4 linked regions of the Arabidopsis thaliana genome follow. The protein of the gene in region 1 purifies or fractionates together with the protein of each later gene. This does not show direct contact. Each region holds a gene or a part of one and is shown in the gene's direction. Other genes may lie near its edges.

The links.
Region 2: the proteins of APP1 (region 1) and AT5G16880 fractionate together in Arabidopsis thaliana (co-fractionation; one large-scale study listed by BioGRID). This does not show direct contact.
Region 3: the proteins of APP1 (region 1) and MUR1 fractionate together in Arabidopsis thaliana (co-fractionation; one large-scale study listed by BioGRID). This does not show direct contact.
Region 4: the proteins of APP1 (region 1) and GMD1 fractionate together in Arabidopsis thaliana (co-fractionation; one large-scale study listed by BioGRID). This does not show direct contact.

What each region holds. Positions count from the first base shown.
Region 1 is NC_003075.7:17,323,707-17,332,796, forward strand, and holds APP1 (aminopeptidase P1), read left to right. Parts: upstream 1-2,910; 5' UTR 2,911-2,981; coding exon 2,982-3,074; intron 3,075-3,213; coding exon 3,214-3,277; intron 3,278-3,376; coding exon 3,377-3,516; intron 3,517-3,605; coding exon 3,606-3,890; intron 3,891-3,968; coding exon 3,969-4,364; intron 4,365-4,448; coding exon 4,449-4,535; intron 4,536-4,620; coding exon 4,621-4,685; intron 4,686-4,793; coding exon 4,794-4,860; intron 4,861-4,936; coding exon 4,937-5,071; intron 5,072-5,171; coding exon 5,172-5,252; intron 5,253-5,349; coding exon 5,350-5,404; intron 5,405-5,499; coding exon 5,500-5,604; intron 5,605-5,733; coding exon 5,734-5,805; intron 5,806-5,893; coding exon 5,894-6,018; intron 6,019-6,105; coding exon 6,106-6,255; coding exon of another isoform or gene 6,256-6,273; exon of another isoform or gene 6,274-6,508; coding exon of another isoform or gene 6,509-6,638; coding exon 6,639-6,677; downstream 6,678-9,090. Other genes in the region: AT4G36750 (Quinone reductase family protein), read left to right, coding at 936-1,528, 2,281-2,509; AT4G36770 (UDP-Glycosyltransferase superfamily protein), read right to left, coding at 6,511-7,884. UniProt on the Arabidopsis thaliana protein: Catalyzes the removal of a penultimate prolyl residue from the N-termini of peptides, such as Arg-Pro-Pro. Aminopeptidase that binds to the auxin transport inhibitor N-1-naphthylphthalamic acid (NPA).
Region 2 is NC_003076.8:5,544,274-5,552,009, forward strand, and holds AT5G16880 (Target of Myb protein 1), read left to right. Parts: upstream 1-4,643; 5' UTR 4,644-4,838; exon of another isoform or gene 4,839-5,364; 5' UTR 5,365-5,384; coding exon 5,385-5,903; intron 5,904-6,189; coding exon 6,190-6,453; intron 6,454-6,560; coding exon 6,561-7,001; 3' UTR 7,002-7,236; downstream 7,237-7,736. Other genes in the region: AT5G16860 (Tetratricopeptide repeat (TPR)-like superfamily protein), read left to right, coding at 1-2,113; AT5G16870 (Peptidyl-tRNA hydrolase II (PTH2) family protein), read right to left, coding at 2,702-2,751, 3,123-3,149, 3,317-3,386, 3,645-3,714, 3,793-3,852, 3,966-4,024, 4,096-4,269; AT5G16890 (Exostosin family protein), read left to right, coding at 7,391-7,736. UniProt on the Arabidopsis thaliana protein: Might contribute to the loading of the ESCRT machinery.
Region 3 is NC_003074.8:19,005,212-19,012,244, reverse strand, and holds MUR1 (NAD(P)-binding Rossmann-fold superfamily protein), read left to right. Parts: upstream 1-3,520; 5' UTR 3,521-3,891; coding exon 3,892-5,013; 3' UTR 5,014-5,252; downstream 5,253-7,033. Other genes in the region: AT3G51171 (F-box and associated interaction domains-containing protein), read right to left, coding at 619-1,389; AT3G51150 (ATP binding microtubule motor family protein), read right to left, coding at 5,736-6,063, 6,152-6,477, 6,584-7,033. UniProt on the Arabidopsis thaliana protein: Catalyzes the conversion of GDP-D-mannose to GDP-4-dehydro-6-deoxy-D-mannose.
Region 4 is NC_003076.8:26,472,541-26,479,162, forward strand, and holds GMD1 (GDP-D-mannose 4,6-dehydratase 1), read left to right. Parts: upstream 1-3,625; 5' UTR 3,626-3,893; coding exon 3,894-4,979; coding exon of another isoform or gene 4,980-5,091; 3' UTR 5,092-5,214; downstream 5,215-6,622. Other genes in the region: AT5G66270 (Zinc finger C-x8-C-x5-C-x3-H type family protein), read right to left, coding at 967-1,996, 2,076-2,200, 2,290-2,424, 2,967-3,026; AT5G66290 (uncharacterized protein), read right to left, coding at 4,756-5,091, 5,425-5,576, 5,667-5,778, 6,153-6,241, 6,509-6,593. UniProt on the Arabidopsis thaliana protein: Catalyzes the conversion of GDP-D-mannose to GDP-4-dehydro-6-deoxy-D-mannose.

The sequences.
Region 1 (9,090 bases):
GCTTTTCTTCTAATTGTAACATTATGATTGATAATTTTCATGCAACTCCTTTTCTCTAGATCGTAGGTAGGAGGATATTAGGTTAATTTGACTACGCTAGAGATTTAAATTAGTACGCTTTCGAACAAGTCAAAAGACACCATCGGGTTAGCCACTAAGAAAGCAATCATCATATACATCAATTAATTATAATACTACTTATATACCTGTACTATATACACTCATGCATAAAAAGTAAAAACGATTCTCTCTTTATCAAATTTAGATTCTGGATCGTTAAAAAGTAGTAAAAAATGAGAAAACTTTTACAAGATAAATTTGATGAGTCACCCTCATCATATTATAGTTAGAGGCTAATAATTTATAAATAATGTCAAAACAATTTTCTCTATGTACATATTATTACGGAGCGATTACATATATCATTCACAACTTTAGTCATTTTGTTAACCCTAATATAATGTGATATCAAAACGGAATATTAATAACGTTATACATTACAATTTTTGTAATAAATTTTGATTTTAATCACTAATCAGTTACTTGTTGCCATTATATTGATCGGGGATCCCTTATTGATAGGCCCAATATGAATGAGCTCAGTTATATTTTGGGTTTTTTCTCATAGCATAAATGGCCCAATGAAAGCCTATTAAGTGATCGAAGGTCAGACGTTGGACTCCTTGTATGAAACCAACAGACTAGGCCCAAATTATCAACTCAAAATTGACCGTAACATATACGGCGCCGTTTTTGTAGACCTGAGTGTGATAAAGTGAGCTGTTAAATCTTCACTTAACCCCATTTTTAATCACGAAATTAGAGTGGTGATTAAAAATACAACTAAAGTTGTTTCAAGTGATTGTTTTCATTTATTTAAATTTTAAATTAATCCAACTTATCGTTGACGGAAAATTTGGGAGAGAATATTCTCGATGGGGAAAGGAGGAGGTTGTGTTCCGAGCAAGAAGAAGAAGCCGGCCACCACCGGCGATGGTCCCGGAATCGATGATGATAACGACGCTACTAATGCTCCGATCCAAATTGACGATGATCAAACCACCATTGACGGCGATCGAACAACGGCGACGAATACTGGAGGAACAACAACACCAGCGATTACTACTACGGCTGCTAAGATCTCGTCACCGCTCAAGATCTTCGTCGTGTTCTATTCGATGTACGGACATGTGGAGAGCTTAGCGAAGAGGATGAAAAAGGGAGTGGATAGCGTCGAAGGAGTGGAGGCGACGTTGTACAGAGTTCCGGAGACGCTTTCGCAGGAGGTTGTTGAGCAGATGAAGGCGCCGGTTAAGGATTTGGAGATTCCGGAGATTACGGCGGCGGAATTGACGGCGGCTGATGGATTTCTGTTTGGATTTCCGACTAGGTATGGTTGTATGGCTGCGCAGATGAAGGCGTTTTTTGATTCGACGGGATCATTGTGGAAGGAGCAGAGTCTTGCTGGTAAGCCTGCTGGATTCTTTGTGAGCACTGGCACTCAAGGAGGTGGCCAAGAGACCACTGCGTAAGCTTTTGCTTCTTTCTTATACTCTTTAGTACCATTTGCATTGGTTCTAAAGTATATTAGTTGAATTTGGAGTACAAGTATTGAATTGCTATAATCACAGAGTCACTATGTGAAATAAATGCAACCTTGAATTTGATGTATATAGGTGGTTGCTAAAACCTGAAAGGTTGTTGTGGTCAGGACTTTGTCTAGTACTTTAGAGGAAACTTGTCAGAGATGGCTATCATTCTGGTGAATTGCTTGCTTGATCTTTAATTGCTTTCTTAACTACACCATTGACCATTTCAAGTCCAATCTGGTCACCATTGAATAGTACCCTGGTCTCTCTTTTGGTACGATAGGCTTGCACTTATGCTACGCTTATGTTAGCTCTAGTAAGGGGAGATCTTTAGAACATGTAAAACTGGATTATTTTAGATTCTCACTTTCTCATCACCCAAAGTACCAATTCTATAGGCATGAGTGTTGCCTCCGATAATTTGCATGTGTTTAAGCTCTGAGATAGATTCCTCAATGTATGTGGACTCTCTTTAGTCATCATTTGCACTTAGATATTTGTCTGTTTTACTTCAGCTGATTCACTCGGTTGCTGTGATAGTTTGCGAATATAGAGAAGCATAACAATGCGGAATCTTAAAGCTTTTGCGTATTTCTCCAAGTGTGCAATGTGGATATTTTTATTGCCATCGTTTCCACATTAAAGCTCAGAAACACTTGCTGATTTCCATCTCGTGTGTGTTCTGTTGCAGATGGACAGCAATCACACAGCTTGTGCACCATGGGATGCTATTTGTACCAATAGGCTACACATTTGGAGCTGGAATGTTCAAGATGGACTCGATACGTGGAGGCTCTCCTTATGGAGCAGGTGTGTTCGCTGGTGATGGGTCAAGAGAAGCAACAGAAACAGAATTGGCTCTTGCTGAACATCAAGGAAACTACATGGCTGCAATAGTCAAAAGACTTGCTCAACCTTAAAACAAAAACAAAAATTGCTTCCTCTATTTGTCTCTTTTCATTCAATTCCTCCTCCTGCTAAATAATCATAAAAAAAAAAATCTTCCTTTCTTTTCTCAATTCCATCGAAATTTCTTTCTTTTCTTTATGAGTGTTTTCAGTTTCGCCATTAATGGTTAGTGTGTACATGTTTCTTTATATTATTTGTCTCTTATTTATTCCTTGTTGTAAAATAAAAACAAAATTTCATTACGTGTTCTTTCATTGGAGTTGTTGATTGGATATTTTATCAAAAACTTATAATTTCACAAATCGTTAAAGTGTAGGAAAAAAAAATAATTAGTTGCGTCAGCCATTAGGATTCCTTGGAACACGTAAAGTTTACTAACATAAAACTGTGATATCTGTACTTTTTTATATCTATCTGCTGCTGCATCTGTGTTCTGTTCGTCCTTGAAGCAGTCAAATTCTTCTCTGAACTCCAAACATCGCCATGTCCGAGATTCTCTCTTCGTTGAGGTCACTAATGGCCTCTCACTCTCCTCCTCTTGATGCTTTGGTTGTTCCTTCCGAAGACTATCACCAGGTTTGATTTATTTTCAATTGAATTACCCTTTTTTGATTCATGATCCGATCTCAGATTACTTGATTATACGTCTACTATTACTTAATCATGTATTGTTCATTGATTTGAGTGAAAGTTTCGATTTTTAAATTGTATGTAGAGCGAGTATGTTTCTGCACGAGACAAACGCCGTGAGTTCGTGTCTGGATTCAGTGGAAGTGCAGGTCTGTTTCTATTTTCTATTGTTCTGGATTCAAATATTGTTAGAATTGAATCGTTGATCGAGAGTGAATTGAATTTGATCGGCGATTATAAATATATAGGTTTGGCACTTATCACGAAGAAGGAAGCAAGACTTTGGACAGATGGTCGATACTTCTTGCAAGCATTGCAACAGCTTAGCGATGAGTGGACACTAATGCGGATGGGAGAAGATCCTCTTGTTGAAGTTTGGATGTCTGATGTTAGTCCTCAACTAATCTTTTGATCAATCCATAAATTTTGTAACTTTGAGATGTGTTCTTTGATTTAGCTTATGGTTTAACAATGTAGAATCTACCTGAAGAGGCAAATATAGGTGTTGATTCATGGTGTGTCTCGGTAGACACTGCGAATAGATGGGGGAAATCGTTTGCCAAGAAGAATCAGAAACTAATCACCACAACTACTGATCTTGTGGATGAAGTTTGGAAGAGTCGTCCACCTTCTGAGATGAGTCCGGTTGTTGTTCATCCTTTGGAGTTTGCTGGCCGTTCTGTTTCCCATAAATTCGAAGATTTGAGGGCAAAGCTTAAGCAAGAGGGTGCTCGTGGTTTGGTCATCGCTGCTCTTGATGAGGTGTGTTTTCGTAGTAAAAAGATCTCTCTTTTTCTCAGTTCAGCTTTGGAATGTATTTTGATTGGGGGTTTGATGCAGGTTGCTTGGCTATATAATATCCGTGGAACTGATGTTGCTTATTGTCCCGTTGTTCATGCGTTTGCAATCCTTACCACCGACTCTGCGTTTCTCTATGTTGACAAAAAGAAAGTGTCTGATGAGGCAAACTCTTATTTCAATGGGCTCGGTGTGGAAGTCCGGGAATACACAGATGTGATCTCAGATGTGGCCTTGCTTGCTTCGGATCGACTTATTTCTTCATTTGCCTCTAAAACTGTCCAACATGAGGCTGCAAAGGATATGGAGATTGATTCTGACCAGCCTGATCGGTTATGGGTGGATCCTGCTTCGTGCTGCTATGCACTTTACTCCAAATTGGATGCTGAGAAGGTCCTTCTGCAACCATCCCCTATATCCCTCTCAAAAGCCTTGAAGGTAATAAAGAATGATTTTTGAAACGAGTGATCTCTTTCGACGTGTTTTAGTTTATTCATACATGCTTATTCTCACTTATGTTAGAACCCGGTTGAGCTCGAAGGGATCAAGAATGCACATGTTCGTGATGGTGCTGCTGTTGTCCAGTACCTTGTTTGGCTCGACAATCAGGTACTGAATAAATGAAAATTTTGTTTCTTGAACACTACTACTATATTGATGATTGATTATGTCACTCAACATTGTGAAACCATAGATGCAGGAGCTCTATGGAGCATCTGGATACTTCTTGGAAGCAGAGGCAAGCAAAAAGAAACCATCGTAAGCTTCTTCTTTCTTCTTTGTTTTGTTTTTCCCGATTTTGCAAACCATTTTTCCATGATTCATGACGCAATGAGTTTTTCTTCTGCAAAAAACAAAACAATACAGAGAAACCTCTAAGCTTACTGAAGTGACTGTGAGCGATAAGCTGGAAAGTCTTCGAGCTTCAAAAGAGGTAATGTTTACATATAACATATTAAACTTTTGTCTTTCCATGAAAGAGATGAATCACATTTCTCGTGTGGTTGCAGCATTTTAGAGGTTTAAGCTTTCCTACTATATCATCGGTTGGTTCAAACGCTGCTGTTATTCATTATTCACCAGAGCCAGAAGCTTGTGCCGAGATGGACCCCGACAAAATTTACTTATGTGATTCAGGAGCACAGGTAAATATCACATGATTGAGTGTATACTATAAGCTTACCTTGTATTTATCAAAGTCTTTGCTCTATAATACAATTTCGTTGTTGTTGTCTTTCTGCAAAGTATCTCGATGGAACAACTGATATAACCCGAACGGTTCACTTTGGAAAACCTTCAGCTCATGAAAAGGAATGCTATACTGCGGTATGTACTTATTGATGATAACCTTTTGAATATTACATTCTTATTTATTTGGAATAAGCATATTTGCTGATATATGTTCAATGTGCCGCATCCTTAGGTCTTCAAGGGTCATGTTGCACTAGGAAATGCTCGGTTTCCAAAGGGAACAAACGGTAAGTTATGATCTCCTTGAATTTTGTTTCTGTACCAACTTGAGATTTGGCTATTGATCTTTTATATGTTGCATTGGCTATATCTGAATTTACAGGCTATACACTTGATATTCTTGCTCGAGCTCCTTTGTGGAAGTATGGGTTGGATTATCGACATGGTACTGGTCATGGAGTTGGTTCTTACCTTTGTGTTCATGAAGGCAAGTTATGAGATACCTCTTTTTATTCTCTCTTTCTTATAAATATCGAGTCATTGATAATAATGTTTTTGAAATTCTAGATGTCATCAACTAACTTTCTGCGATGATTATGTATGGTTTAATATGTAGGACCTCACCAAGTTAGTTTCAGACCGAGTGCCAGGAATGTACCTCTTCAAGCTACCATGACTGTAACAGATGGTCCGTCTGCAACAAAAACTCGGTAGTTCTCCTGTTCGGGTTAACCTTGATCATATTCTAAAAGCTGTCTATATTCATTTATTTGCAGAACCTGGTTACTATGAAGACGGGAACTTTGGTATTAGGTTGGAGAATGTTCTTGTTGTCAATGACGCTGAGACTGAATTCAATTTTGGCGACAAGGGCTACTTGCAATTCGAGCATATCACTTGGGTACTTACTCGTTGTCTGTTAACTAATACCGTAGTTCTCATATCAACATGCACATCTGAGTAACTCTCGATCTCTCTCTCTCTCCAGGCACCATATCAAGTGAAACTTATCGATCTAGACGAGTTGACACGGGAAGAGATTGACTGGTTAAACACATATCATTCGAAGTGCAAAGACATCTTAGCCCCATTTATGAACCAGACTGAAATGGAATGGCTCAAGAAAGCTACCGAACCTGTAAGTGTATCCGCTTGATCCCCTCCCAGATTTCTCTTAAATAGATGTTTATCAATGGCTCCTTCACTTCTCTCACTAGTAAACCAAAAACATTCAAGTCATACACAGATTATTTTCTTTAGTTTTGCATTCAAAGTTCATGTTTCTGGACCACATGTCTTTATTCATAGCAGATTCTCAGTTGTTGAACCATAAAGAGAACATTATGTTTATCGTTTTGATATTATTAAATTGTCAACTTTTTGCTAATTAGTTTTAGGTGAAGTAAGCAGATGGAATGTGAGTCATGTTGAGAGCTTCTTCTGCTGTCTTCTTCAGTTCCTTAACATTCTTTCTCATCTCTTTTCCTTCTTCTTCATCCATCACTCTCTTCACCATTTCAGCTATCACCTCCTTCTTTACAATCCCATCTGCAACATTAATCTGCAACGCAATCTTTAGCTCCCCAGAAACCATCCTCGCGTTCATCTTCTGCTCTGAGTACAACGGCCAAGCTACCATTGGCACACCATTCACAATACTCTCCAAAACTGAGTTCCATCCGCAGTGAGTCACAAACCCTCCTGTTGACTTGTGTGCCAGAATCTCTTCTTGTGGTGCCCATGTACGGACCACCAAACCGATGTCTTTGGTTCGGTCTAGAAACCCGTTGGGTAAGAAATCGAGAGGTTCTGTCTCATTCTTGGTCTTGTCGAACATTGATGCCGATGGGTCGTCTTCAGCCGGTGGTCTGACTACCCAAACAAATCTGTGGCCAGTCAGCTCCAAACCGTAAGCCAGCTCGTTTGTCTGCTCGAAGGTTAGTGCCCCACCACTCCCAAAAGAAACATAAACCACTGACTCTTTGGGTTGTAAGTCAAGCCAGTCCAGCACGCCATGTTTCAAACCTGGTTCTGCTGGTCTAACCAGCGGTCCAACAGGATAAACCGGCACTCCTCTCATAACCCGACCGAGATTCTCTGGATCCAAGAAAGACCCGATGGTCACTTGCTCCAGACTGTGCCACGTATTCACAAACACCCCATCTGCGGTTATCACCTCATCCCCAATACGCTGAGACTCAGCGAGTTCCCGAATATATTTTCTCGGATCTTGAGCCCGCTCAAACTTAACCGGGCTGCATCCGGGTATAAGCAATGCTCCTATGCTACTCAACTGCTTATACAACTCCTGTTTGTCAAGACTCGCCATATAAACCGTAAAAGCTAGAAACCAAGCACTGGTAGTAACCAGAACATGTTTTCTCATGATCCCAAGCTCCTTAGCCACCTCTAAAGCTTCCGTGCCCAACAAGTCAACTACGAAAACCCTAGGCCGCGGTTCTAACTCCATGACTGAAGACTTGATCTCTGGTAATGCCTTCCTCATCATCTCTGCTAGTTTAGTCAATAGTGAACCACTCAGATCTTGACCCGAAACATCGAGTGGAATAAACCTGATCACAAATTTTGGATCTTCTTCCATCAACGTTTTTCCAATTAGGGATTTCGAACGTGAGACATCGTCTGTGACTAGGAAGACAGTGACACGGTCGAACCCGTGGTGGTTCAGGAGATGTTTACCGAGTTCTAAGATGGGTACGGCATGTCCCATGCCCGGACTAGCCACTAGAGCTCCGTGAAGTTCCATGGTCCTCAGAGTTTTTTTAGTGATATGCTTTCTTTAATTGGTGGAATGAGAATGTGTTTGGTGATTGGACGCAGTTGGGGTTGAATATATAGAGAAGAATTACGAGATTATTAAGATTGCAGTTATCGAAATGGACGAACATCTCACAGCAATAAATCATTATAACGGAGTGGATATAGTAACATATTTACCATTAGTTAAACCCCAAACTAAACATTCAAATACATTAATTGAACTGTAATATGATTAAATACTAGTAATAAGTGGTAAGATGTTTTTTTGTTCACTAATGTAACGTTGTACAAAGACCTAACATATAGTAGTTGTGTTTGAGCCGTCGTTTGTTTTGCGTGTTACAATGATGTTTGGATGAGATGAGCCACGCATAGAATGATAGAAACATGAATTAAGATGTGTTTGTTTGTTTTACCTTGTTTTGGACAAAGCTACAAAATGCGATCATGTGACTTGTTGAAACTTACTAGTTATATATATGTATTTTAAAATGAAAACGAATCCAAACTAAATAGCTATATGAAAAGAAGCAACTCACCACTCTCACCTATCACGTGGACCCAACGTGGGTCATCTCATAGTTCCCTCATCAAATGGGCAATGAAAATATTGTCTTGTGCCGTGAATTACGACAAATGAGAATTTAACTACGACATGCGGAGATAACAATAATAGTATCAACAATAGTATAAAAAGAAAGAAAATTAGAAAACAATTTGCAAATGGTTGGAAGAAGTTGTTGTTGTTTAGGTCCCAACAAAAGTGAACAAAAAAGACAGGCCACATGGTGGGGGTCCATTATCCTCCCCGCTCGTGGAGGTTTCCTTTTTATATCACCTAACTCAACACAACAAACTCTTAAACTAATCACAATAATTAAGAAACCAAACTAAAATTAAACTCTGGTCTATGGAAAGCTAAGTGGATATCATATTACTACATCCGCAAAGATATTAACTCTTTACAAACCGATTTTTTCCTGTGATCAATTAAGATATTATATATCTCTAAGAACATTATCATCATCACAGTGATAAATTAAGTATAAACGGAGAATGTAACGGTATGTTTAAGGTTCGACCCTTTTCGACCTTCCTCGACCATGCGAGCTCCGGCTCCAATGTACTGTACAATGCTGAAGATTTTCTCTGTTATGGTCCACAAGGAGACTGATCTGATCTTTTACCACCA
Region 2 (7,736 bases), on another chromosome or scaffold:
ATCTGCTCACGCGCTTTCTCTGGTAACTGGATTTATCTCCAATGTCTTTGTTGGGAATGCGCTTGTTGCTATGTATTCCCGTTGTCGTTCATTGAGTGATGCACGGAAGGTGTTCGACGAAATGTCTGTTTGGGATGTTGTATCGTGGAACTCTATAATAGAAAGTTATGCAAAGTTAGGCAAACCTAAGGTGGCGCTTGAAATGTTTAGCAGGATGACCAATGAATTCGGATGTAGACCTGATAATATTACCCTTGTGAATGTTCTTCCTCCTTGTGCTTCCCTAGGAACTCATTCACTAGGGAAGCAATTGCATTGTTTTGCAGTCACAAGTGAGATGATACAGAATATGTTTGTAGGGAATTGCTTGGTGGATATGTATGCAAAGTGTGGGATGATGGATGAGGCAAACACGGTGTTTTCGAACATGTCAGTGAAGGACGTAGTATCTTGGAATGCTATGGTTGCTGGGTATTCACAGATTGGAAGGTTTGAAGATGCTGTTAGGTTATTTGAGAAGATGCAGGAAGAGAAAATAAAAATGGATGTTGTTACTTGGAGTGCTGCTATTTCAGGGTATGCTCAACGGGGACTTGGATATGAAGCTTTGGGTGTGTGTAGGCAGATGTTGTCTTCTGGGATAAAACCAAATGAAGTCACGCTTATTTCGGTTCTTTCGGGTTGTGCTTCTGTTGGAGCATTGATGCATGGTAAAGAGATTCATTGTTATGCCATCAAATATCCCATAGACTTGCGTAAGAACGGTCATGGTGATGAGAATATGGTAATCAATCAACTGATTGACATGTACGCTAAGTGCAAAAAGGTTGATACTGCACGTGCTATGTTTGATTCACTTTCCCCCAAGGAAAGGGATGTTGTGACTTGGACTGTGATGATAGGTGGATACTCCCAGCACGGGGATGCAAATAAAGCTCTCGAACTTTTATCTGAGATGTTTGAGGAAGATTGCCAAACAAGACCAAATGCTTTTACCATATCATGTGCCCTCGTGGCATGTGCCAGTTTGGCTGCACTAAGAATTGGCAAGCAGATTCATGCTTATGCGTTGCGCAACCAGCAGAATGCAGTACCGCTGTTCGTATCAAACTGTCTAATAGACATGTATGCAAAATGTGGAAGCATCAGTGATGCCCGCCTTGTATTTGACAATATGATGGCGAAAAATGAAGTTACTTGGACATCTCTAATGACGGGTTATGGTATGCATGGTTATGGAGAAGAAGCTCTTGGAATCTTTGATGAAATGAGGAGAATAGGTTTTAAGCTTGATGGTGTTACATTACTTGTTGTATTATATGCTTGTAGTCATTCAGGAATGATTGATCAGGGCATGGAGTATTTCAATAGAATGAAAACTGTTTTTGGGGTTAGTCCTGGTCCGGAGCATTATGCATGTTTGGTTGACTTGTTAGGTCGTGCTGGCCGGTTGAATGCAGCTTTGCGTCTCATTGAAGAAATGCCAATGGAGCCTCCTCCTGTGGTATGGGTTGCTTTTCTCAGTTGCTGCAGAATCCACGGAAAAGTTGAACTCGGGGAGTACGCTGCGGAAAAAATAACAGAATTAGCATCTAATCATGATGGATCATATACATTACTCTCAAATTTGTATGCAAATGCAGGGCGTTGGAAAGATGTGACTAGGATCAGATCATTGATGAGACATAAAGGAGTTAAGAAAAGACCTGGTTGTAGTTGGGTTGAAGGAATTAAAGGAACTACTACGTTCTTCGTGGGTGATAAAACTCATCCACACGCTAAGGAAATATACCAGGTCCTCTTAGATCACATGCAACGCATCAAGGACATTGGTTATGTTCCTGAAACAGGCTTTGCTCTTCATGATGTAGACGATGAAGAGAAAGATGATCTTCTTTTCGAGCATAGTGAGAAGTTAGCTCTTGCATATGGTATTCTAACAACTCCGCAAGGTGCTGCTATCAGGATTACTAAGAATTTACGGGTATGTGGTGATTGCCATACAGCATTCACATACATGTCCAGAATCATTGATCATGATATTATATTGAGGGACTCAAGTCGCTTCCATCATTTCAAAAATGGATCGTGTTCATGCAAAGGTTACTGGTGATGATGCTCTCTCTATGCACTCTACCAAACACGGAAGCAACCTGAGGGTTTTGACATGGCTACAGCAGATTTCAGGAACGATCTAAAGGGACAAAGAAAGGGATAATAAGCACTGTGTTAAACACCTCATGTAGATTATATAATTTAAGCAAATTTTGTAGATGAATAGCTTTCTTCTTTATTTTTGGTAGATAATCACACTCCATACCATGGGTTTATCTTCAATAAACAAGATCTGTTGTTACATTTGAAATGTTCATATAGCCAACACTCCCATGAACTGGCATTAGAACAAGCCATTTTCTCAATGTGCCAAAAAAGGCTCGAGCTTTTGATACTTCTAATACAAATCCAGCAAAAAAAGATGATATCACCATTGGTAGAGGGAAATGCTACATGCCCATGAAAAATGGGGAAAATGTTTTAAAATGAATATTTCGTCATCATCAGGAACGAGTATACGTAACAACTACAGATTTCTCACAGGTAACCTCGGGCGAACAGAGAAGGTGGAGTTCATGTCTCTCCTTTCTGCTTGGTCCATCTGAGAGATCAGGTTGAAGAAATGTCATATCGAAATTCGAATCTGCTAAAGAAGCTTTAGTCCACCTGTTACTTCATCAACAACTTCGACTGGTCCTGCAGAAGTAAAATCTATAAGCGTTGGAATGTTGTGTTAAGAAATGCTGATAATATCCGATAAACAAATTCTGCTACAAGAATCTCTAACTCCTGGTCATAGAACGGTGCATATGAATTTGGATACCACGCAGAAAGTATACACCCTCTTCTGACCGAGTCAACTTTTGAGCTTACATTTCATATTTTGGATTCTTATGAACTATAGATTCCATTCAGGGTCAAGGACAAGCACCAAGCAATCAAGAGAAGTCATGAACTAATAAACTAGTACATTTCTCTAGGGTAAGTGTGATTTGCAACTCTCAAACTCATCACTTGTCCATCAGAGTCTTAACTTTCAAACACATATCTTAAAAATAACAACTTACCAAGAATAGCCATAACCGTCCTTGAATCTGGAAAGAACATGACGTATTATTAGATTCACATTTTCGCAGAAAATGATACTTACGAAAGAAGATTGAATCAAGAGAGCTTTCTCCCTGGCAATTAACTAGCAATCATAAAGTTTAAAGCACCAAGGGATTTCAAGTTCAAGAGGGGAGGAACTTATGAAACTCACTTGGGGCAATCTGTGTTCTTCCAGCATCAATGGTGATATGGGTAGGCAGTTTAAGGGATTTAGCTCTTTCCTGACAATTTTGTGAACAGTCAATACAAGATATAAGAAATGGGAAAAATCAAGATAAGCTCTATGATATCTCAAATTCCCCTTAAGTATTCATGTATATGGTCAGAACTCAGAAATTATCAAGAAACTAACATCTGGCAACTCCTGCAAAGCCCGTGAAGATCAATTTGGCAACAGCACTAAAGCTGTGAATCCAAAATATAGTTCAATAAAAAAAATCCACTTTACAGTCTACTACAATTTGTTTTAGTAAACTCACTTGCAATTCTAGCATCTCGTCCTCGTCCTCGATTTTCACAACAACTTTTGGCTGTGCACATTCCTCCCAGCTGCAATAGCAACCTATACTGTTAATTCAATCCATATATTAAGTAACAAATGGAATTGATCATGACTTAGAGGCATACCAGTCCAATGCTTTTGGCGCTCGACGAACAAGCTTCTTGTATAATCCTAAAGTTGCATGACTGCAGAAATGCAGACCAATAAAACGAATCAGAATAAGAACACTCAAATGTAAGAATGATAAACATGAATTAAACACTTAAAATAGTAAAAGAGAGCATGATTAGTTTATCACCTGCATTGAGCTGCAATCTTTCCTTTACCCATTTTAAGATCATTTCTCACCACCAAAACCTGAGTATACAAAACTCAATTCAACAATTTTGTGATTCCATAACAGTAGAGAGAAAAATGTAGCTAACTACCATCTTGAAATCATCGAGAATATCAGCGAGTTTCTCAATCTCGAGTGGACTTTTGGAGGATTGAGTTTTGATATCCTTATCAACAGCAGCAACAACAGGTTTGGAACGGCGAGTGCCAATGCAGTATCCAAGTGCAGCTCCAACAATTAGGGCACTTAACCACGTCAAATCCATTGGCAAGATTCAAATACTTAAATCCTACAGACAACAAAATGATTGAATTTGAGTATCTAAAATTGAATTACCTCAACGTAATCTAGCTCAAGTTTCTACAGTAGAAAGGGAACAATTAAGATTCTCATCAATGGTCTAAAGAAGAGAATCGAAGAAAGCTTACGAGTTCGAGAGAGAGAAACGGCTCCGATGATGAAGTTTTTTTTCCTGAAACCGGCGTGAAGATTTTACTGGCAAGAAAAAAAAAAAAAAACATTTAATGATCGATTATTTTTTGGTTCGTTGGATGAAATTGCGTAACGTGATTGGTTGATATGAAAAAAATAAAAATAAAAAAGCATATCTTTTTGAAAATAATGTTTAGCGTAAAGGAAGGGAAACATAGTCAGGATAAAGTAATTCCCACGACCAAACACTTAAAAAAGGAACGCAGTTTTCTTCTTCTTCAGGATTTGTACGGCGTCAACGGGCATTGACCTTGTCGCAGATTTTCCTCTCTAGTCTCCGTCTTCTATTACCAGATCGAGCTTTGTTCTTCGAGCTTCTCATCTCTTTGTTCAATCTCAAAGGTAGAAATTCGCGTTAATTTACTTGTGATTTCGCTGTTTTTTGGTTACTGTTTCCGTGTTGATCGATCTAGTTCTGGGTTTTTCGATCATATGAAATGTTATTTTCCTTATTAGGGTTTTTGTTGACCAAAACGAATTTTTCTATTTTCTTTCGAATTTTGATCTTCGAATATCGAATTCGGTTTTTCTCAGCAAACCCTAATTACATTCATCCGTAAAAAACTGTTTAATTTCTGGTTAAACCAGTTTCCTTGAGCAAATTTTGTTGGATCGAGAAGAATATTTGTATGATCGAAGAGATCGTATCTGAAAACCTGGTTTAACCGGGTTTGAACCTTTTTGTGTATTTGATTTTGTATGAATCTCTGCAGAATTCGTAGGTGTATATTATTGATTGTTAGTATTTCCTTTCGTGCTCGTTATTGTTTAGTATCATTGAAGGATACTTGAACAAGTTGATGTTTCAGCTGCTTTCTGGTTTGTTCTGTATGTACAATTCCAGGTTCTTGCTGTTTTTCATTTACAGGTTTTTGAGTATCAGCAAAGATGGGTGACAATCTTATGGACAAAGTTACCGCATTTGGTGAGCGCCTGAAGATCGGAGGTTCGGAAGTGAGCAACAAGATCAGTGCTGGTGTGAGCTCAATGAGCTTTAAAGTGAAGGAACTTTTTCAAGGTCCAAACCCAACTGATAAAATAGTCGAAGATGCTACTACTGAGAATCTAGAGGAACCTGACTGGGATATGAATTTGGAAATTTGTGATATGATAAATCAAGAGACAATTAATAGCGTTGAGTTGATCCGTGGTATAAAGAAGAGGATTATGATGAAGCAGCCGAGGATTCAGTACCTTGCCTTGGTTTTGCTCGAGACGTGTGTTAAGAACTGTGAGAAGGCGTTTTCAGAGGTGGCAGCAGAGAGAGTCCTTGATGAAATGGTAAAGCTGATTGATGATCCACAAACAGTTGTTAATAACCGAAACAAAGCTTTGATGCTGATTGAAGCTTGGGGAGAATCAACCAGTGAACTTCGCTACCTACCAGTTTTCGAAGAAACTTATAAGGTAACTATGACCTGGTACCAAATAATTTTACGCTATTAAATTCAACAATACAGTTTCATTTACAATACTTTATTGAAGATACCACTATCTTATGTTGAGTTGAACTGTTTTGGCCAAAGCATATGGGTTTTGAACAAAACAGACAAATGACTATTGTTTCAATGAATTGGCTCAATCGACTAGCTTGTTGCAGGAATTGATTGAAAAATGAAAAGCTGTGAGGTCTGATGTCAGAATTCATTATGATTAGGTCTTTAATGTTTTTATATTTTTTCCTATACTATAGAGCTTAAAAGCAAGAGGTATTCGCTTCCCTGGACGAGACAACGAAAGCTTGGCACCTATTTTCACTCCTGCTCGGTCAACTCCAGCACCAGAACTGAATGCTGATCTTCCTCAGCATGTGCATGAACCTGCACATATCCAGTATGATGTGCCTGTAAGAAGCTTTACTGCTGAGCAGACAAAGGAAGCTTTTGATATAGCAAGAAACAGCATTGAACTTCTTTCCACGGTTCTGTCCTCCTCGCCTCAACATGATGCTTTACAGGTAAATTGACTCGGAATTATTAGGCATCATTTCCTGTAATTCTAATGTAATAATGGATATAACATGGGATATCGGCGATATATTTTCATTATCTCTCTGATTTGCAGGATGACTTAACAACGACACTTGTACAACAATGTCGTCAATCTCAAACCACTGTCCAAAGAATCATTGAAACAGCAGGTGAAAACGAAGCCCTTCTTTTCGAAGCCTTGAATGTGAACGACGAGCTAGTGAAAACGCTGTCTAAGTATGAGGAGATGAACAAACCCTCTGCACCGCTAACCTCACATGAACCAGCCATGATTCCCGTTGCTGAAGAGCCCGATGACTCTCCAATTCATGGAAGAGAAGAATCTCTGGTTAGAAAATCTTCTGGTGTTCGAGGTGGATTCCATGGAGGGGGTGGTAGTGGAGATGACATGATGGATGATCTTGATGAGATGATATTCGGTAAGAAAAACGGCTGTGATTCTTCGACTAATCCAGATCATGACCCAAAAAAGGAGCAGTCCTCATCCAAAAACGACGATCTCATTCGATTCTGAGACGGATACTTTCAGGCGACATAATAAATCTTTTATAATGTATTTGGTGTTTAATTGGTAGTATGAATGAACAGGTTCAATGTAAGTAATCTGTGTTTGGAGATCTCTTTGACTTGTGTGATGGTTTATAAAGGAGATTTGTTATGATGGCACATGAGATTTGAAATACATTCTATTCTAGTTTCTGCTATCAAACACATTTTGACATCTATCCAATTGCTATCGTGCACATTTGAACACAAACTTTGTTTCAATTTAGCGTTTACAGTCGCAGACGCAATCGCGGTTAAGTGAAGCGCATCGTCACTTTCCACATTCATAGTAATATGCAACAACTGAGTAACAGAAATTTGTAATCGAACTCAGATTTCGAAGAAGCAGATCTCACAATGTCTGGAAAACAGCAAAATCATCGTTCTACTTCCTCCAGACCCAGATCCAAAACCCTAATCCTCATCGGCTCTCTCTTCACCGTCTCTCTACTCGTCATCCTCTACACCTCTTCTTCCTCCTCCCGAGCCTCCATCTCCAATCCCAACCCGTCGGACCGACCAGAGACGTCCTTCGTTACCTCGCTTGAGCATTTCTTAATATATAAAGCTCCGAAGCTCTCGTTACCGGTTAGAGACGACACGGTGCGTGGCGAGAGTGATGATGATGTGAGGAAGCTCGATGAGATGGTGTTCGAGAGAGAGAATCGTTGGTTGAACGAAGATCCGGGATATCCTGTTGAAT
Region 3 (7,033 bases), on another chromosome or scaffold:
GTATTATTTCAGTGCACAGTACATATATTATATCATTGTAGTGGTCGTAGAGCCTAGATTTCATCCGTTTGTCAAAGCTTTAGTCACATGTTCTGTTATTTTTTTGGGCATTTTGGGTGTTTATCCGGTTTGGTTTGTTGTTTTGGATTGTAAGTTGTAACATTGACTGAACCGGTTTTGTCAATTGGTTTAAACTACTAGTGAAATAAAATAAATGTTGATTTGAGAGCTTTAATAAATAAAGCATCTTATTATTATATTCAGAACTTTTACATTAAAGGAAGGGGGATAAAATTGGGAGCATAAACACAGCTATAACAACAGAAAACCATGGTGTCAATTACAAACTTCTTGAGCAAATCTCCCCTGACAATATAGATGCAAGCCGCATAAGTGTTCTCGTCAGCACAATAAATGATGAAGGTGGTCTTGTCATAGATGAAGTAACTAATGCCATAACACTCGATAAATAAGTTTGGCAAGTTATTTGGTAGCAACGTCAACAAGTGAATCCACACAACTTCGTCTGATCCATTGTTGTTACTAGTATCAATCTTATTCTTCGTAACCCAAATCTCAACCTTCCTTGTCTTATAACATTGCTTTAACAAGGATAACCTATCTCCCCTGAAAACTTACAAGTAAATCGAAAGCATCAAACTTCCGACAAGGAAGAAGACAAAAGGGTTTGCATATCTCCCTAGAGAAATCAAAACATTGGATGAGAAAGTCATCAGTGTTGGGAATAGGAGAAAGCCAATAGAGATTTCCGTTCAAAGACACACTGAATCGTGTAACATCGGTTAGGAACCAGTCCTTGTTCGATATTTCAATAAACTTGAACGCGTGAGAGGCACAGTCGTAGATCGCAACTCTCTGGTGGTATACGTAAGAGCTCCCATCTTCAGGGCGACACATTAAATACCCCAAGATTTTGTAAACCTTTCCGTCTCTAGTATTATCGTATCCTAAGCCACAGACATTGAAACCTTTATCCTCGTACTCGATCCATTTAACCTGTTTCAACCACGGATTCCAAAAAGCTGTCCCCTTAGGACTAGCCCAAGAGTTACAAAACAAGAACCCATCGCAAGCAGTGATGGTTATGTAAGCAAATTTCCAGTCACGGTAAGGGATACCAGAGGAGTCTAGCACACGTAACTTAATCGTTGGATCAACGCCGTCGAGACCGATGATCTCTATCGAATAAATATTGGAATCGGTCATGAAGATGAACTGAGGACAAGCACGAGCGAAGTGGTTTTTGATGAAACTCTTTTCATCGAAAAGATAATTCCATCGTTTGCAAACGGATCTGAATCGAACAAGAGATTGGGCTGCAAGTCGAGACAGTATATCTTCCTCTAGCTCCCATGGAAGCGGAACCATTACCTCTGGTTATTTTTTGGGGCGTCAACGAGATCTTCTTCTCTTTGCAGTACTTTAGGAGAAGAGCCATATTATTATATATTTTATACCCCACTAGAAAAGTGACACAGTTTTGTTGTCATTATTATTGGATTAAAGGATATTGATTAACTTTAGATTATGTAGTAAAAAAATAAGCAAATAATACCATTATTGGACAATGATTATTGGACAATTGGTCAGAAAATCTTAAGAGAATTATGATTTTTTTTTTTAAGTGCCATTATCATTTCTGTGTTTATTATTAAGAAGCCCGAAACTTTATAGAGTTTTAAAAAAACTTTAATAACTCTTTTAGGACTAAGAAGAACCCTTCTTAACTAGTTTCACACATCATCATCTTAAAATGTAAAACGAAATGGGGAATACGTCGAATGTATCCTATCAGTATCTCTTGAACTTCGTGGGCCACAATTCTCAAGGACGCCCAAGTAATCTCATCCATAAGGCCCATCACTAAGTCTTTGCAATCTAAGTTGAATTCAAACCTTTGTAAGCCCAATTTTTTAATGTTCTTTCCTTCAGAGAATAGCCAACAAATAAGATAATTGCCAAAAACAAATTGCGCTCACCGTGAGGCTTGAGCATGTATAACCAAATTGCAACCCTTTGTTTCACACCCTCAATTGTTTTCTCAATTGCCTATTGCACCATTGCCCGAATAGACTCTTCCTAGTACTTGAACAAGTTGAAGAACTATCACATTCCCATCTCTTCGAACGACCTTTATAATCTTCTTTGCCTTTACACCACAATTCGTCAAGTTTTGTAAACTTAAGAAGAGACTTTGGTTTAATTGAGTTGTGTTATTTACTTGGGATACGTTTCCCTTATATACATGTATATACCTATGTGTGTACATCAATATTCTCTAAACCTTATCTTTAGAGATACTAAACACATCTAAACAAAATTCATATCTATCTAGCTCGACATATTCACATCTATCTCGATAACACTCCCCTCAAGTTGGTGTGTGTAAATTTAAAACACCCAACTTGGAGAAAAGATACTCTAAAACTGGAACTACCCAATGCTTTAGTAAAAAGATCAGCCACTTGATCGGGTTTTTTGTATAGATAAAAAAACCCTAGGAATGTTTTTTCCTCTTTATCACGGTGGTCTAAAGTTTTCTTTCTGTCTTCAAGTTCATTAGTCCAATATTATAAGAGATGACAACAAAGGTTTATCAACCTCAACACAAGTTGTAGCCAAAGTGAGTCAAGTGACCAAACACCATAATTAACGTTGAAAATCATGGTTGTTGAGCAATTCAGTTTTGGTTTCCGTGTTGCATCCTCTAGATTGAGATTGTAGTTTAGCTTGGAGAAATCCACTAATGCTAGAATATTCGTTCGATGGATAGTAATACGGGCCACATTTTGATGCTTGTCGAACATATGAAATAATTAACTTCTTTAATTAGTGTCTGATCGAATATAATTCTTGGTAAGACTAAGTTGGTATACCTAAGTTCCGGATGCATAAGATGGTCCAACGCATGGTTTATAATTTTCACTTGTCTCAAGTCTCAACGCTTTTTTGTTGTGGTCAAATGATCACTTTGCTTGGTTGTCGAAAGAATAACAGGCAAAGATAAATAATATATAAAAGCATATCTTGACAAACCAATCAATTATTTGTGACAGAAAGAAGAAAAATAAATGAAAATGATTGAAGATTTGTAAAAGGAAAACAACAAAGGTGATTTGAAGCATAAGATTCCTAAAACAAATCGTGGAGATTACATATTGTCCACCACTCGAACACAACTCAAGAGACTAAATATATATGTTAGTATGTTTCGGCATTGAGCCAAGTTATACTCTTATCATTTGCTTCATTTTTTTAGTAAATGGTGAGTTTCATTTCTGTCTTTTTTTTCAATCCAATTCTCTCAATTTTTTCAGTTGAGTACAAAATAGTAATTGCTTCTACAAAAAATTACTAATATTTTTAATGTATCAAATTTGTAACTTTTTAATTAATTTTTGACTACACTAAATGTATATTAAATGCTTTGTTTGACTACTTTTCACTCTAATTGTTTTTGCAATTATTGTCTTATAAACTTTCAAATACTTTTCACTATTTTTGTTTGGACAGTTCATAAAATGATTTGAAAATCTTAATATGTTTGTTTTTGTGGAAAGTTTGCAAATGATCCAAGAAAATTCTATAGTACACCATTGATGAGTTTGACCACAAAATAAGTAAATCATTAACGTGTTATACATAAACAAGGAAAATATCCAATCAATAGTCAATTAAAAAAAACTTAAAGACCAACAAAGATTACCAAACTACCCTTATCCTGAAATTGACTAAAATACCCCTCCGTCTTCAACCTCTCTGACCCTATTTAAATCAGCTAAAACTCTAACAGCCCAATTCAACACGGATTTTCAACACAGAGCTGACGTTAGCATTTGTCTCTGAAATCCCAGATCCGAAAACCCAACAATGGCGTCAGAGAACAACGGATCCAGATCCGATTCCGAATCCATCACCGCTCCCAAAGCTGATTCCACCGTCGTTGAACCGAGGAAGATAGCTCTGATCACCGGAATCACCGGCCAGGACGGATCATACCTGACGGAGTTCCTTCTCGGAAAAGGCTACGAAGTTCATGGTCTGATCCGTCGATCATCGAATTTCAACACCCAGCGAATCAACCATATCTACATCGATCCACACAATGTCAACAAAGCTCTGATGAAACTCCACTACGCCGATCTCACCGACGCTTCCTCTCTCCGTCGTTGGATCGATGTGATCAAACCTGACGAAGTTTATAACCTAGCTGCTCAATCTCACGTCGCTGTCTCCTTCGAGATCCCTGATTACACAGCCGATGTAGTCGCAACCGGTGCTCTCCGTCTCCTTGAAGCCGTCAGATCTCACACCATCGACAGTGGCCGTACCGTCAAGTATTACCAAGCCGGATCTTCGGAGATGTTTGGATCAACTCCTCCTCCACAATCGGAGACGACGCCGTTTCACCCCAGATCTCCTTACGCAGCTTCCAAATGCGCTGCTCATTGGTACACAGTGAATTACAGAGAGGCGTACGGTCTCTTCGCTTGTAACGGAATCTTGTTCAATCACGAGTCACCTCGCCGTGGTGAGAATTTCGTGACGAGGAAGATCACAAGAGCATTGGGAAGGATCAAGGTTGGTTTGCAGACGAAGCTATTCCTTGGGAATTTGCAAGCGTCAAGAGATTGGGGATTTGCAGGAGATTATGTGGAAGCAATGTGGTTGATGTTGCAGCAAGAGAAGCCAGATGATTACGTTGTGGCAACAGAGGAAGGACACACAGTGGAAGAGTTTCTTGATGTGTCATTTGGGTATTTGGGACTCAATTGGAAAGATTATGTTGAGATTGACCAGAGGTACTTTAGGCCTGCTGAAGTAGATAACCTTCAAGGAGATGCAAGCAAGGCAAAGGAAGTGTTGGGGTGGAAACCACAAGTAGGGTTTGAGAAGCTTGTGAAGATGATGGTTGATGAAGATCTTGAGCTTGCTAAGAGGGAGAAAGTGCTTGTTGATGCTGGATACATGGATGCTAAGCAGCAACCTTGATTTGATCAATTATACAAAGATGGAGTTTCTTACATTTATCTGCTTTTATAGAGTTTTAAATTTCGTTTTTTTTTCTTTCTCTTTTTGTTGCTTTGGTGGTTGTTTGTTGTCTTTTTATGTTTTAGTTTCTTTGTTGCTTTTTAAGTTATCTAAATTGTTTCCCTCCAATGAGTTGAGGATGAAAGCGCAGTGAATTTTGAATGAAGGAGCAAAAAGAATCATATACTACAGTTCTTCAATTCATGAATCTTTCAAAATGACTTCAATTCACCCTGAATTTGGCTAATGTACACAAACATAAACATGGTTCAGATTCAGATATCACTGGGATTTTAAGGCAAAGAGCAGGTTCAAGGTTGAGGCATTTGAGAGAGAGCGATTTGCATGTGAAGCATTCTTAGGTCAATAAAAATGTGACACACAAGTAAACTGCATGAAAAGATTTCAAACTCACCGGAAGAGAAACACAAGAGCTTTTCTTATTGAGATGTCGGGTTATGCTAACGACTTTAGAGTATCACCTGACTCTAAACAGTTAAACGCACAAACATATCATCTATGATTTTTGCGATTTGCCATTTTAAAATTTTACATTTGAGACTGCTCAATCTCAGTCTCAGACCCAAATCAAATTTAGATTTGTGAATGTACTTCTCACAGAAGCCACACCACTTTTAATTTAGTGCTCAGGAATGAATCGCTTGGATTTTTGTCCTTTATAATTACAAAATAGAGAGCGACAAAACGCTGCGTTTCCAAAGGCTAGATTTCTTGGCACGGGGTCTAAGTGAGAAGTTGAGGCCAAACATTTCCTTGGATGCCAAATCCATGTCCACGAACCCCATGAGCTTTCCCACAACTGAGGCGCTCTCTCGGACATGATCCATATCTTTGCTCTCTGACCAGAGACGATGTGCCAGTTGGAGCCGTCTGTGCTTTGTATTCAGCCCAATACCCCATCTCAAGAACACGTTCTCTCTCTCCTCTTTCGTCAGTTTCTTCTGCATCAGCTGACTCAGCTTGTACCTCTCCCTGTTCAACGCCCTCAGGCTGTTTTGTTTCATGGCCCAAACAGTTAAATAACCGAATACATTCACCGTCAAAGAAATTTAAGGTGTTTTTGGGTGAATATATATACCTGGACATTGATGTAAGAGTGCGTCCATTTTCAATAGCTTTGTTATTGTGGGTAAAGGTTTCTCTGATGTACTTGAGCCTACGGAGTTCGACCTCCATGTACAAGCAATCTTTCTGATCTCCTCTGAAGAGAAGGAAGAAGTAACTTCTGTGTGACAAGGAAACGTTGCAAGCATGCCATAGCTCTATTATCTCCATCTCGAGTCTTTTGAACTCCAACGGCCAGTTCAATGGCATGGTTAAATAGTCTTGTATTGGGTCAACCGCAGCGTCCTTGAAACTCTTTGACGATCTTAGAGCCAAGAATTTTTGCTCTATCTCCTCCATCTGCCATGATAGAGGTGGTTCTCAAAATAATGACGATATCTAAAGGTCGTACCAAGTATAGGTAAACGAAAAGCAAGCTCTGCTTGACCAAGTTAGGAAAACTAACCGATAGGTGAATGATTCGCTTGTCCCTCTGAGGAACAGTCTCTTCACCTTCGTCTTGGCTGATTAAAGCTCTACCACTTGTCTGGCGTGCATACACATGAGATTTAGAGGTAGAAACCTGTGATCCATTCGGTGATGACTTTATCATATTAACACCATCTAAACCAGCTGGCATTCTTTGGGTGTGGTTGAAGTCTTTCTCGAACCAAGTTGCTGGCATGCTCATCCGGCTAATATGCTTTGGCAATGGTGGCCTCTTGCTGTTGGACGGTTTCAGGTTGCTCTCAGCTCTTTCATTCTGATACCAGCATGGTGGTGTGTTAGCATCTCTCTCAGACAGAGAAAAGGAAGAGCTTGATACAAAGCTTGCTCCGCAGCTTCGGCTTCTAGTAAACCCCGTGCCTCCCGCCGTTTGCCCATTACTCTCAAGATGCCAAGCATAAAGCTTTTC
Region 4 (6,622 bases), on another chromosome or scaffold:
TCGGACACTTGGCTCCCAAAGTATGATATCATCATGATATTAATATTGGTATCGTATGAGCGGTGACGTAATTGGTGTAGCAACGATAAAATGTTCTTAACAATTGATATTGACTAAAAGTATATACTATTTAAACCACCATCCAATCATTCATATCGCGTTAAGAAAAAACTTGACATAACCGTTTCAGTTTATCGTTATTCCTAAACCACATTACACAACGAGTTTTGGATAAACTCGAAGTCTTTTATATATATTATATATTCATTTATATATTTGGTAACACCAATCACAAAATTATATTATTGGTATAACTATTTAGCAAAATAGAACAGACAAGAAATTTTGAGTTTTAGTTGAGCACAGGTGTAGGGATCACATGTCGGGTGTTCTTTATGTGAGCTTTTTGTGTCCTTCTTCATACAGATGATACAATTATAACCAAATGTACCTTTTTCATACAAATGATTATACTACCCTAAGTCTTTGTTTTCGCTAGATTAGTTCAACTCATTAATGACATAATCAACATTCAACAAAATAGACTAAGCGGTTATGTTTCATTGTTTCTAATTTCACTTTCTTTTTTATTTAATGGAATTAATATCTTCGGTGTTGTTATTCCAGAGATTTAAAAATTTCAATACATTTTTAAAATTATGGTAGAAAAAGAAATTGAACTCCAGTGATATCATTAACTAATTTTATGGATTGTAATAATCCGTCTTTTTCTCCGGCAACAAAATTGACCAACTTCTCAAAACTCTTGGTCCAAGTACTAAAATGATAACCTTGTAGATGGCCAAAAGAAATGTTACGGCAACGGGTGGACCCAAAAAAAAAAAACATGGATGACTGACTAACTTTGGGAAACTTGTTAAACAAGTTATCAGAATTTGGATGAAGCTATTTACCAATAATTTCAGACATGCTTGGTGTTAAATTTTGAGTCATATCGTAGCTGTATTACGATCCAAACTTGAGTCTCTTAGCTCTGGGAAAGTGAGGAGGTGCAACATCAGTCCATAACCTTTTAGAACTGTCGTGAAGATACAAGCAACTCTCGCCCATCCGACACCCCTTGGGCCTGTTAAAATACATGCACGGTTTCTGAATCCTAACCTTTACGATTTTCTTATGATCAACTCTTCCTTTGTAATTGTTAGTTTCAGTTGTTGCCGGTTTGACTGCCCCATGTTCCCTAATGAGGTTCTTGAAGTAGTCTAGATCTTTCACGGGTTTTGCAGAAACCTGATCATCCCGGTTTGTGTTACCATTACGGATTTGAGGATCTGTTTCAGTTCGCGCTGACTCCGGTACCTTATTCATATTCCAAGAGCTGCAAGGGAAAAGGAGTTGGGTCTTTTGTTCTGAGACTACAACATCATCCCCTGTGCTTGGTTTCAAGGGAGCAGCTGTGTAAGAATCCTCAACTTTGATCCCAGAAGACAATGGATAGTTGTGAACAACCGGGGTGGGTTTCTGGAGGGTAAGGTTCATTGAGAGAGCACTGGACATGGGCTGATTGGGTTTGGGGAGTGGAGGATCTGTAGCACTGGACTGAACCGAAACAGGTACATTATGTGGCGCAACATTTCCAGGCATGGGAGGTGGGTTTCTGTCCATGGTTGTGGAGGTGACATGTTGAGGAGCAAGTCTAGGTTCGGTGATGTCAGTGTTTAGACTGTTATTTGCAGTTTCAAGTGGTTTACCTTTCATGCCATTGATCAAGTTCTCAACGATTTTGGGGTCACTGAGTAACTTGACAAGTAAATCAGGATCGACCTGAGAGCCCTGTTCCTTAGTTAAGGCAGACAAAGCTGCAGAAGCAAGAAGACTTAACTCTGGTCCAAGTCCAGAAACAGCTGCAGGAGCTTCGAAACTGTGGGAAGATTCAGCAGCAGCGTCACGTTCATCTTCAACGTGAGTGAGAGGGATATTAGGAGTTTTGCCGTCGTCATAGTGTTCTTCTTCAACAGCTAGTGTGAGCGAAGGACTAGAAGAAAACAGAGAGAATTTGATAAGTGGAAAAACATGACATGGCACAAAAGCAAATCCTCAAATGATAAAATTACCGAGAAGGGATCACAGAGCGATGTGGATAGAAAGCTTCCAAGACTTTAGAAATCCTAAGATTCTCAGAACGAGTCTCGATGCTTTTTCCACCACTCCCAACAAGCAAAGCATCATCGAGGACAAACTATTTTGGCGGCGAATAAAGAAAGACAGTGAGAGTTATATAAAAACAAGAAGGGTCACATTGTTTGCAATTCAAGAAAAGAATTATACCAATGGTGGGCGTTTCCATTTGATCCGAGGAATGTGTGAGATGATTCGCTTCGTTGCATAATCAGTAGCTTCAAAACCAGGTGGAAGATTCGATGCAACTTTAACGGGACAATCATCACTAAGAAACAACTTTACCTGTCCAAATCCTTTACTTAGTTAGTAACCAAATGCGTGTGTACTCAGCAGCCACAAAGTCCTTTTTTTTACATGAGTTATATATATAAGGGGAGTCCTACATGTTTCACTATTTCAGGAGGAACACAATCTTTCTAAAATTAGTGACCACATTGGTACATTGTTCTTCTTTTTTTTTGGGATTTCTTGCTGTTTATGTCCCTACTATGTAAAGAAGATTTCATAACATCAAGTCATCAACATTCAGGCACACAAAATTAATTAATTAGATTCGCCATTACCAGAAAAAAAAAAAAAAAAAACGTCATCTTATTAAAGTTTGTTGCTTTGACGGTGACTTATGGAAAAGGTTTTATCTTTGTGTAAATTTAAAATTAAGAATAATTAATCAAAAGCAATCAATCAAAATCAATTCGTTTGTTAACTGTCCGATTCCAACTTTGATAACTGGTAAGTCCGAACCGAACAATTACAAATTTGCAGGTAAGAGAAGAATAAGGAACAAGATTGGGTCGACGAAGAAGACGACGGGTTGGCTATACCTGACAAAGCATACTATCTGATGCCCACGATACTCTCCCTTTCTTCGTTTTCTTCATCATTACTATTTCTCTTACAAAAATTCAATCGCAAACTCTTTCTAAAGTCTATTCACTAACCACTTTCTCAGATTCTATACGAAACGAGAAATCAGATGTTAGACCAAACTCGACAATGAGAAAGACAGATATGAATAAGAAGAGAGGCGTCGGCGATACGTTTTGTGTTCTGTGGGAGAGATAGAACAGAGAGAGAGAAAACCCTAACCACACTTTTTATGACTTTTTGACTTTCCCAGTGGAGAAAAATAAATACTATCAAATAGAGAGGCGCTGATTGGCTCCCATTCCTAATCGTTTTTTTTATTACTTTCACCGATTTAATTTCCACCACTCATATTCTTTTAATATTCACAATTACTCCTTTTAACGTTACGTGTTTTTTATTTTTACGCTTTCATTTTTGAATTTTGAATCTAATAAATAGGACATGCAAGTTGAGATCGTGTGGGGAAAAAAAAAAATCAATGGTTATTATAAGGCCGAGTATAATATAACTAAATGGGTTAACTTAAGGCAAATTACTAAAGTCCACAATGATGTTTAGTCTGAACGCAACCCGTAGAGCTATATATATATATAAGCCCAATAAAATTAGCAGTAATTTAAAGCCCATCTTGGCCCAATAGATAGTAAAATATTCGTAATCGGTCAACGCTTGCCGGCGATTTGCCATACAAGTACAACTTTACGTAGCCATACAGATTCACCTTTAAAGTTTACAGAAGTAACCCTCTCTCTCTGTCTTCTTCGTCCTTGGGCTTTATTATATATAAGTCATCGAATCAGTTGACGCTAAAATCAAAAACAGAAAGCGCGACGTGCCCAATCATTTCTTCTGATCCGATCTGACTCTGCACCCACCCATCAATGGCCTCCAGATCTCTCAATGGCGATTCCGACATTGTGAAGCCGAGGAAGATTGCACTGGTCACCGGAATCACTGGCCAAGATGGATCTTACCTGACCGAGTTCCTGCTCGAGAAAGGCTACGAAGTTCACGGCCTCATCCGACGATCCTCCAATTTTAACACTCAGCGACTCAACCATATCTACGTTGATCCCCACAACGTCAACAAAGCTCTCATGAAGCTCCACTACGGTGATCTCTCTGATGCCTCCTCCCTCCGCCGTTGGCTCGACGTCATCAAGCCTGACGAGGTCTACAACCTTGCTGCTCAGTCCCACGTTGCCGTCTCCTTCGAGATCCCTGATTACACTGCTGACGTTGTCGCTACTGGAGCTCTTCGTCTCCTGGAGGCTGTCAGATCTCACAACATTGACAATGGCCGCGCCATCAAGTACTACCAGGCTGGCTCTTCGGAGATGTTCGGGTCAACTCCTCCTCCGCAGTCAGAGACCACGCCCTTCCATCCGAGATCTCCCTACGCTGCGTCCAAATGCGCTGCTCATTGGTACACAGTCAATTACCGAGAGGCCTACGGTCTGTACGCCTGCAACGGAATCCTCTTCAACCACGAGTCACCTCGCAGAGGCGAGAACTTCGTGACTCGGAAAATCACTCGGGCCTTGGGAAGGATCAAGGTCGGATTGCAGACCAAGCTCTTCCTGGGAAATATACAGGCTTCAAGAGACTGGGGTTTCGCAGGAGACTACGTGGAAGCAATGTGGCTGATGCTGCAGCAGGAGAAACCAGATGACTATGTGGTTGCAACTGAGGAATCACACACCGTCAAGGAGTTTCTGGACGTGTCTTTCGGGTACGTGGGGCTCAACTGGAAAGACCATGTCGAGATCGACAAAAGGTACTTCCGGCCCACGGAGGTCGACAATCTGAAAGGAGACGCAAGCAAGGCAAAGGAAATGTTGGGGTGGAAGCCAAAAGTAGGGTTCGAGAAGCTGGTGAAGATGATGGTGGACGAAGACCTTGAGCTGGCCAAGAGGGAGAAAGTGCTCGCCGACGCTGGTTACATGGACGCTCAGCAGCAACCTTGATATGGGGAGGTGGCAAAGAAGAGTAATCATTATCTGCTTTTTCATTGAAATGTAATTTTGTTTCATTTGTTGTTGTTCTCTTTCGTTGTTTCAAGTTGTTCAACTCCATACACTGCCAATCGTCCATTGTGGATTTTGTATCAAAAGGCAAACAAAGCATATTTATTACATATGAATTTTCCCCTTATCAGAACAATGGTTTCTTACTGGTCACAAGCGATTGTACAAATCGAAAAGCCTAAAGATGAAATGACAAAAGAAAACAATGATTTGTAACAAAAAGATCAATCAATAGCATCATCATGCATCTATGCAAAATCAGAGGAGATCAGAAAGTATGCTGTAGAACTACACGTATTCGATTCACCAATCTAACTACCATTAAGAGTATTTACTCTTATGCCTCGGGTTTAGAAGACAGAGTTGTAGTAGTATTTATACTGACCGAATCGGGAGATGCAAGAGAAAAAGGCGCCACTGTGGACCTCAGAGATTCAGGTCCCTCAGAATTAATTCTCTTACATAATGTATCGCAGTTGCTGATCACCTCTGTCAATCTTCCTTTAAGCTCCCCGAGCTCCACCTGCAAACCATGAACTAGAAATATGTTCCACATATATAAGATCAGTGGATAATGCAGTCCAGTGGCAAATCCATCTCTATCTTAATCTACGCTACAATAATTACCTTGAGATAAATGCTGGGCAGTTGTCCTCATTGCAGAAACAGAGTGGTTAAACCTCTGTAAAAGTTTAGTCGCCAAAGCATCTGCGACTTCTATCTTGTTTTCTATATCTTCCTAAAGACATGATGCAACATATTAAAATTCATTTCCCTTTAATTGCTACACCTAAAGACATCATAGTGATGCAAACCAAGATTTCAGACCAATGAACACTTGTAATTTTCAGTTTCAATTCACTAAACCATAAGAGCAAAAGAAAGTAGAACATCTATACTTGATTTTTTTTCTTTTTTTTCCAAAAAGAAAACATTCCTTTGGCACCACACTTGCAAACCAAAAGCTCAAAAAACTTACACTATCTTAGTGTCTGTTTCAATTTAAGAGAACCCTTAGGAGTAGCCTGAAGTCTAGTTTAAGTTCTCGGCTAATAGCAAAAATTTCTTAAAGACTGCACTCATATACATACAAAAAAAGGCAGAAAGAGAGACCTGTCTCTTGGTAATTTCTTGAGCTTTGTTCTCTTGCCATTCTCGGTAAATGGAGAAGAGCTCTACAAGTATTTGAGGATCAACCGTATCTGGGAAACAGTTGACAACAAAGGCAAAAAATTAGAGTTGAAAAAAGGAGACTTGTAGATGAATGAAAATATCTTTTCATTATGAAGCTTTAACAGTAAACGAATACATTAGCAAAAACAAAAAAAGTCCAAAGATATGTCTTCTTCTATGAATAAATTGTCTTCCACACAACAAACGATCAATCATTTTGAACATGTTACATAAAAACAGCAAGTCCTCTTCCTAAACTCAGTTGAGCAAACTAATCAGATAGGTATAAAACTCACTGGAAGAGGAACTGGATAGAGCTTTTCTCACTAAGATATCTGTTAAGCTACTTTCCGTGGGAGGAGACTTCAATATTGGCCTACTCTGCAATTATCATATTTTTAAGCAAGAGC